2 linked regions of the Bombyx mori genome follow. The protein of the gene in region 1 interacts with the protein of each later gene in a pairwise test. Links are inferred from orthologs where the notes say so. Each region holds a gene or a part of one and is shown on either strand. Other genes may lie near its edges. The genes, in order: exportin-6 and nuclear pore glycoprotein p62.

Evidence for each region.
Region 2: the proteins of exportin-6 (region 1) and nuclear pore glycoprotein p62 interact in binary tests that used the Homo sapiens proteins (3 or more experiments, as listed by UniProt). The link is inferred for Bombyx mori from reciprocal best matches to the Homo sapiens genes XPO6 and NUP62.

The regions. Positions count from the first base shown.
Region 1 is NC_085114.1:10,470,954-10,475,229, reverse strand, and holds the start of exportin-6, read left to right. Parts: upstream 1-1,431; 5' UTR 1,432-1,632; coding exon 1,633-1,635; intron 1,636-1,705; coding exon 1,706-1,915; intron 1,916-3,932; coding exon 3,933-4,130; intron 4,131-4,276. UniProt on the Homo sapiens protein: Mediates the nuclear export of actin and profilin-actin complexes in somatic cells.
Region 2 is NC_085134.1:6,717,862-6,722,118, reverse strand, and holds the start of nuclear pore glycoprotein p62, read right to left. Parts: upstream 2,898-4,257; 5' UTR 2,721-2,897; coding exon 2,654-2,720; intron 2,467-2,653; coding exon 2,410-2,466; intron 2,129-2,409; coding exon 2,027-2,128; intron 1,540-2,026; coding exon 1,412-1,539; intron 824-1,411; coding exon 745-823; intron 371-744; coding exon 246-370; intron 1-245. UniProt on the Homo sapiens protein: Essential component of the nuclear pore complex. The N-terminal is probably involved in nucleocytoplasmic transport.

The sequences.
Region 1 (4,276 bases):
AAGATTATAATGGATTCTGACCACTGTGATGCAAGTATATCACATCCATGTTTAATTGCTTCATCAGTAATGAAATCTGGGCCTGGGCTCTTCTCCAATTTTAACTTATTTAGTTTAGTTATTTAGTTTATATTATTATTTTCGGGGTTGTTGTATGTTCCTGTTTGTTGTTGTTTATTTGTTGTATATTCGCACCGTACAGGTTTTTATAAAATTCTGTAGCAATATTAATTATATCTCTACGGCTGTGGGTTGTTTGTCCTGATTGGTTTAATTTCTCAATCCAAGTTTTATTTGTTCGAAATTATTTTATTACTTTTTTTTTAATTTTTTCCCCGTGTAAGGTAAGTTTGTATTTTTTGATTCCGGTAGTTTATATAGTCATATTTTATGTATTTACTCGTCAGTTTATAAAGTGCTCATATGTTCGTTTTTTTCTAATCGTGACTTCCTTGGCGTTTTTTTGTAACATTTGTCTCTTATTTAATAATGTAATTGTCCTCTCTGAGAGAATTTTGTGTCTAGTAAAGGTATTCTTAACCTGTCGTGTTTTTGACTGACTGACTTTGATAATATATAATAATTTGTTATAAAAATCCTGCACTGTCGTCTCCAATTGATAGTCGACGAAGTTTGATGATATCTGATGCCTCAGATTTTGCTTGTATGCTTCAATTGCTTCTCTCGTTTTTAAAGTACTATTGCGGTTGTTAGTAAATTTTATTCGACTTTTCTTTGATACTTTTAAAGTTATTGTAGCTCTTACCATTCTATGGTCTGTAGAGAAGTTAGGGTTCAGCTTTTCTATATATAGGAATAGCTTACACTTGACAGTATATAGTCGATTTCATTCTTGTGTACTCCGCTGGGTGATGACATCATACTTTATTTCTTTCAGGGCTTCTTCGAGCTCTAATAGTCTTTCAAATGAAGAGAGGGTTTTTGCGTTATATGTTGCTATGTATAACTTGTTTGTTGATAGATTTCCGGATTTTGGGCAATTTCTAATTGTTTCTTTGAAGGCTGTGGTCAATCTCTTCCACGGTGACCAGCCGGCTTGTTACCGTGTAATAACGGTGGTTTATTAACTGTTTAATATCTGTGAAAGTGCACAAATATGGGAAATGAAATAAAGCCGCTGGACGTAACTTCTCGGGATCCTCCAAAAAGTCCACTGAAAAAATCTCAGTAAATGATCACCATTTTACTGAGATTATATTTCATCCCATATCATCTCATTTCATTTAATTTCATCCCAGTTGATTAATGTCTCAAATTAATCATCTTCATTTCATTTCATTTTATTTCACTCCATTTTATCATTTTTCATAAAAAAAATAATATAAATTAAAATAAGACGTGACTTAAAAGTCTTAGTAACCAGGTAATAAAATCCCTTTAAAAAAATTATAGAAGTTGAATATACGTCAAATGTCAAAAATAGTCAAGATGGAAAAACATAAAAAAAAAACTTTATTTAAGTTGATGAAAACACTGTTCAATTAATAAATAGTAATTGTACAGAAAACGTTACAAAAAAAATCATTTAAATGTTTTGAATAAAGCCTTATTCATTTCATAATAATAATAAAAATAATGTGAAATTATTTCTTAGATGTTATTTAAAAAATCATGGTAAGAAATAATAGTAGAAAATGTTGGAAGTTTAAAAGCACATTGATTGTATCTTAAAACAAATTTTCAGACCGAACAACATATCGACGAGGCTTTAGCCTCTTTGGATATTCTCATGTCGGAGTTTTTTGCTCCGACGACAACTAATATAAGAAAACGTGAAATTGAAAGCATGCTGGAAGACTTTTCAAATCGCAGAGACTCGTGGAAACATTGTCTCCTATTTCTTCAAAAGTCACAGAATCAGTATGTTTTGATGTTCTCTCTAACGACGTTAGAGGTAAAGGTTTATTTTATTTTATTGCTCTATTATGGTCTAAATGACCAGGAATTTCCAAAGTAGTAGAAATCGGTTTCTTACGGGTTGAAACGAAACGAAGAGGAAATTTTTTTTCGTCATGTGCACTTTTTCTAAGATTGACTAATATTTGAGTAGGATTGTTGTTGTACCTCTAAAAACTCAACTAGTCCATAAGCGTGCACAAGTTCATACAAGATGCAAACTTAGCAAGTCAATGAGTATAAACAAGTTCATGCAAGATAATGTGTATGAGTGTACAAATCTTTCAGACACATTTTGATTTTCTCTGTATTGGACACATCCAACAGAGGTCATATAATTAAGAACAATTTGAAGTTCCAGGTTTTTTTAACCCAAATCATGTTTTGTGTATTATGCATTCTTAGAAGTATCTAATTATTTTATGAAATAATCACATAAATCTATTTAACACATAAATAATACATAGAATAAAACTATTAATAATTTTATTTAAAAAATTTACTTATTCCCCCCCATGGTAACAAACAAAACTACAAATAATTAATTGATTTATTAAACTGCTTTAGAGTTAGTTTTTTTTTATGAAATTAAGATCATATAAATCATATGAAAGTGAATGTATAAAGAAAAAAAGGTATTTAATACTTTTGAAACTAAAATTAATAGTTAGTACCAAGTCCATAGCTTTTAATATCAACTTGGCAGATAAAGTTCTATTCTTCTATTAGACTTCATAAAGCTTTCTTAAATCACCACACTGAGAAATATTATGTTTCAAATCAAACATATATCTTGACTTCGCACCTAAGATGCTGTAATGGGCTTAGATCTGGGCTGTTAGCTGGACACTCTTAAGACAGAAACTAATGGCAATGTGAGAAATTCCTTTATGGTACATACAATAAATAACCAGAAGCACATTTTCGTTGTAAGGTTACATTGTTTCTTTCAATATGTTTTTGTCTTTGAAGTGATCTATGTTTCCTTCTATTAGCTTAACAGGTTCCATATCATGTCCAGACTTTTATTTTTCCCAACCACAGAACCAGACTAACTTATTTAATTAATTAAGTGCTTAAGATTAGATTATCCACAAAAGAAGGTAGAAAGGACATCACATCACAAAATTTCAAATCGCATAGAATATAACCATGTCACCTTTGCTATGGTGTGTAGTAAAGACCCTGTCAAATATAATGTGCTTATATTAAGCTATTATGTAATTTTCTAAAATTTTTTTTTTTTCTTATTGGCCTTGTAGGCAGACGAGCATACGGCCCACCTGATGGTGAGTGGTTACCGTTGCCCACGGACTTCAGCAATGCCAGGGGCAGAGCCAAGCCGCTGCCTACCGCTAGCCAAGCCGCTGCCTACCGCTAGCCAAGCCGCTGCCTACCGCTAGCCAAGCTGCTGCCTACCGCTAGCCAAGCCGCTGCCTACCGCTAGCCAAGCCGCTGCCTACCGCTGTATAAATGATAAATATAAAATGTATAAATGATAAATTTAAATAACTCGTTTTATTAACAAATCGTAAATTATCACTCTTCTTTGTAAACCTTCCTTTTAATTACAGAAACAAAGCTCTGCTCTAAAAAGATACTACTTTATTTTGAACTTGAAATTATTTTCTGCATTTGACACTTTAGTACTCCTTGCTATCTAGTGCTTAACTTAATTATCAACCTCTCATTATACTTGAAACACAGTTTTAAGTACAAAAGTGGTGTGAAATAAAACAAGGAACAGCCTTATTACTTAATTTCGTCTTTACTAAATTAATGAGCCATGATATTATAATTTTTTTTTATCTCAGCCCTTTAATAGCTTGAAAGATACAGGTAGTAAAATTTAAGTCAGCAAAATACATTGAAATGTTTGAAATGAGACTCATTTCTCAAGGTGGGTTAAGTTGTTCATGTCTATGGCCTCCGGTAACTGCTTAACACCAGCGGACCGAGAATTTCTTCAACCACTAGTCCATGCAAAAATAAATAATATTTAAATTTCCTTCCAGAACACTATCAACAGACAATGGATTGGTATATCAGATGAAAACAAGACAGAGATCAGGTTAACACTATGGAATGAATTAATGGCAAAACATGAAATTATGTTATACTTCATAAGAAACAAAATGGCCCACCTTATGGTTTCAATAGCCAAATATGATTGGCCACATTTATATGAGGATTTCTTTAGTAATATTGTCGAGGTATGAATAAAAATATGAAAGTCATGTAATTTTCAAAGATCTGAAATGATTGTAGATAACTCTTGAAGTTATTGATGAGTATGTATACAAGGGACGCGTCGTTTCCGGTGCTCCCGATCCACTATCGGTGCTTTTAGGTATCTCAA
Region 2 (4,257 bases), on another chromosome or scaffold:
TTTAATCAGAGTGCATGATTACTTTGCAGCAGAAACAGTGTAGTGTTAATGCTTACAACTAGGTAACTACTATATACAGACTGACATTGTCTCCTGGTTTCAACAAATTATTGTAATCAGAAGTTGGATTTAGAATAGTTACCTTTGTACCTTAAACTTAACAACAAAAATAACAGACAAACAAAGGAATTAACTGGAGATGATCTAAAAACGATTTCTTTTTTGGGATTGTAACAAAAACTTACAGTACTAGCTTGCGGTGCTGAGAAACCAGATGTAGGTGTTGAAAAACTAAAGCCAGCTGTCGTTGATGCCGGCTTCCCGAAGCTAAAACCTGTATTTGCACTGGAACCGAATGCTGGGGCAGCAGCTAAAACAACATGTTCATACATTTCCTTTTCTTAAAATTTCTGTTCACTTTATTACTGATGCAAGCAAGACGTACTGGTGAAGTAATTATAAATTTCGTTTGTAAGGAACAATGACTTAAAACTTTTCTGAACTTTAAGTCCAATTTTCATAATAGCAAAAGCTGAGCGCTAGTGCATTTACAAAAGCAATATTATTATCCTTTTTTTTAATTTTAAATTTATAATTATCCATGTCATCTGCCATGTCAAAATAATTATATTTGTCAATCCAGGTCTTAAGCTGTGTTACCATTATAATCGTCATTTTAGTATAATATCATTTATATATTCATTATAATAATAAATTTATAATATTATTATATTTATAACCAACCTTGTGTGGCAGGTGTACCGAATGCCGGTGGTGCTGTGGTGGTTGCACCAAACGACAGATTCTGGGCCTGTCCTGCATTCTGTGAAATATTCACTAGCATTACAAGGCATTAACACATGCAAAGGAGCACAGTGAACGACATATAAGAGTTATGTAGAATGTAAGCATTCTCGAACTAAGAAAGAAAAGATAAGTAGAATGTAAGCATTCTCAAACTAAGAAAGAAAAGATATCATTTTTTTCACAACAATTTAACAATGGCAGAACATTGTTTTTTTTTTTTTTTATGTCTTAGATGGGTGGAAGAGCTCACAGCCCACCTGGTGTTAAGTGGTTACTGGAGCCCATGGACATCTACAACGTAAATGCGCCACCCACCATGAGATATAAGTTCTAAGATCTCAGTATAGTTACAACGGCTGCCCCACCCTTCAAACCGAAACGCATTACTGCTTCACGGCAGAAATAGGTAGGGCGGTGGTACCTATTCGCGCGGACTCACAAGAGGTCCTACCACCAGTAAAATTTACAAATATAACTGATTTTTTTTCCACTTAATTTGGTGAAATGCAAAATACAGTATTGATCGATAAACGCAGCTGGAGACATCACACCAAACTGACGAATAGTTTGTTTAACAGGCTCCCAACAAAATTACTGTACACACCTGATTTGTTGCTTGCCCAAAGGCAGAACTGCCAACTGTCTGATTAGGAGGTGAAGTGAAACCTCCAAAGGGTGTTGGCTTATTCGCTCCAAAGCCTGCAGTTGTAGTCGTTGTCGATGGAGATGAAACTGCCATACAATACATAAGTGTGAGAGGCATTTGTTATGAGTAGAATGTTTTTCGTAATGTTTGATGTAAGCCTCTTTTTGAGCAGGTAGGTTCTCATTGTCTATAAAGAGTAGGGCAGGAAAGGTTCAAGGCTCTTACATTTTGTGATTCAGTAGTGTGGTGATAATTTTGATTAAGCACTATGTTATTTTGTTATTTGTAGGTCAATTCTATTTTAGTGTTAGATTCATTCCTGGAGTTTAATTTAACTTTAACTTGTATGAAAATTGTATTTAGAACATAGGATCTGAGTGTAAATAAATATTTATGAAATATTGATCATTTAAGAACCCCTTTGAGGGATAATTATAATTTTTTAAATAATTTTTCACATGTCAGCTAGGAGTGTTAATAGTTGTTTAAATATCTTTTGCATGTCTTTTGGCTATGGTTTAATTACAACCATACAGTATATTCAGCGTTAAGTAAACAAAGGCCATTACTTACATGGTGAAGGTGCTGCATTTGTTGTTTTAGCACCAAATGCAAAACTGCCAAATACTGGTGCACTTGTTGTGGGACTAGTGAAGCTGAATGTTGCTTTGTTTTCTGAGAGATTAAAAATATTATTTGCATTTTCTATATGCTTTTGGGATTCGATTCATGTTTGGATATCTAATGAGTGTACTTCATCTTTTCTGAAAATATCCATGTCTCTTGGTTTAAGAAACCAGCACCACTGTTAATAAATCTTGATTTATTAACAGTGGTGCCTTAAATTCCCTTAGTCCCTTAAATTTTTACTGTCTATTTTTGTTACTTGTAACAGAAAAATTCAGATTTAAAATATCGCTTGTATTTGTTACCGGAAGTTTTTGTACGCATCGTACCTGTGTTGGATCCACCAAATAACGGCTTTGAAGCGTCACCGCTGCCAAATGAAAATCCTGTAATTACATCCAATTAATTAATTTTTTGATCTTAACGTGAAAAAAGTGTGGTTATATTGTTTACATTGACAATTTAATTATTGTTTAAAAAAACATATATATCGTAGTTCGAATCGTATTGTAGAGTATTTCAATTTATAAAGCTTCAAATTGGAACATGATAATCAAACCAAAAAGAATTTACCTGTTGATGGTGTTGGTGTACCAAAAGTATTAGACGACGTTGTAGTAGTTCCAAAAGAAAAACTCATTTTGTAAACTATAGATAAACTTATGTAAAAGTAAAATAGTTTAAATGATGGAAGTATGTATATTTAGATATTTCAATAAATGTTTAGTAAGCACTACTGTTTGCCGCCGTTAGAAAATTTACCAACAGTAAGATTTATCGAGATATTAATCATTCGTTCAAACTTCAATGTGTCAAAAGTCACTTTTTGTTATGTCCGATCAGACTGGCAAAAGAAACGTAGCCAATTGATTTAAACTGGAATTGAAAACCTTGTGTGAGATCTCAAGCCAGGCAGATTGCAAGCATATTTTTTCCCGTGTTCTCATCGCAACCAATTCTAGAAAATGAGTGTCGGAAAGGAAAAATATATGAAAGATAATCGTGGCAAAAGAAGAAAGATAAGGCATTTAAAAGCTAAAACTATATTCTTATAGTACATAGTATAAAAAATACCTAACAATGTTTAATTACCCCATTTTTTCTCGTCACCTAATATGAATCCTAACGATAAATGTGAAACCGTAAATTATCTTTCCAATCCAACTCTCTATACTCTGTTCAATTCAAATCAATTTACTGTATGTGATTTTTAAAGGCAATCTCTTCCATACCTTTAAATCGCTTTTGATAACATCAGTTGGATGATAACAATAACAATTTTAGATGAAATCATCCATATCTTTTGCCACATCCTGAATTAAGCAAGTTTGTTCCAAAGTCGAGTTTGATGGTGTGTTCCAAAGGAAAGGAAAAAACGAGCCATCGCGGTAAAGCTTGTAGATTTGAAACATTGATATTACTTTGTACAAGTATAGATGTTTATATGGATAGCTTAGAATAGAAAATTGGTGTGGAATATGAAAAATACAATAATAAAATGAGACAGTCGCTTGTGCATGGCGATGCGTTGCCACGTCAGCAATCAAAAAAAGAGCTTAAGTAGCTTAGCATTTTTAAAGTATTTGTATATTTCATATTATTTTTATTTCATAAAACCTAATCCGCTTACATAGTAGTGGGGCCCCATTTTTTTATTTGCCCTGGGGCCCTTGGTTACCTTGTTAGCCACTGTTTATCTCGGCAGGTAGATTCGTGTTTCATGCTCGCATTACTATATCAGAACACTATTTTAATTATTTATATTTATTTTATTAAGCCACTGCTACTATTTTCGCATGAGAGTTATGGAAATGTCTAAATAAGACGTACATAACCACGACCACTCCGCTAGGAGTGTACGACTGAGAAGAAAAGAAAAAACTATCTCAGACGTGGTGTGTGTGGTTTTAAACTTTTTGAATAACAATCCATTGTATACAAGTGCACAAATATGAGGCGTAAAGTTTTCAAAGTAAGTTGACTACCTGCATACCTACCTACTTAATATTTTATCTGCCGTACTTATTCTCGTAGGTTCCATAGTGACCAATGAAGTAGGAAACCTATGGAAATGAAACGTCAACCAAAATTTCGTGCCACTGTGACGTCATCTGGCCACAAAACATGGCGGCTTTAGTGCTGTACAAAAGATTTCAATGTTATCAGGTTTTATCGAT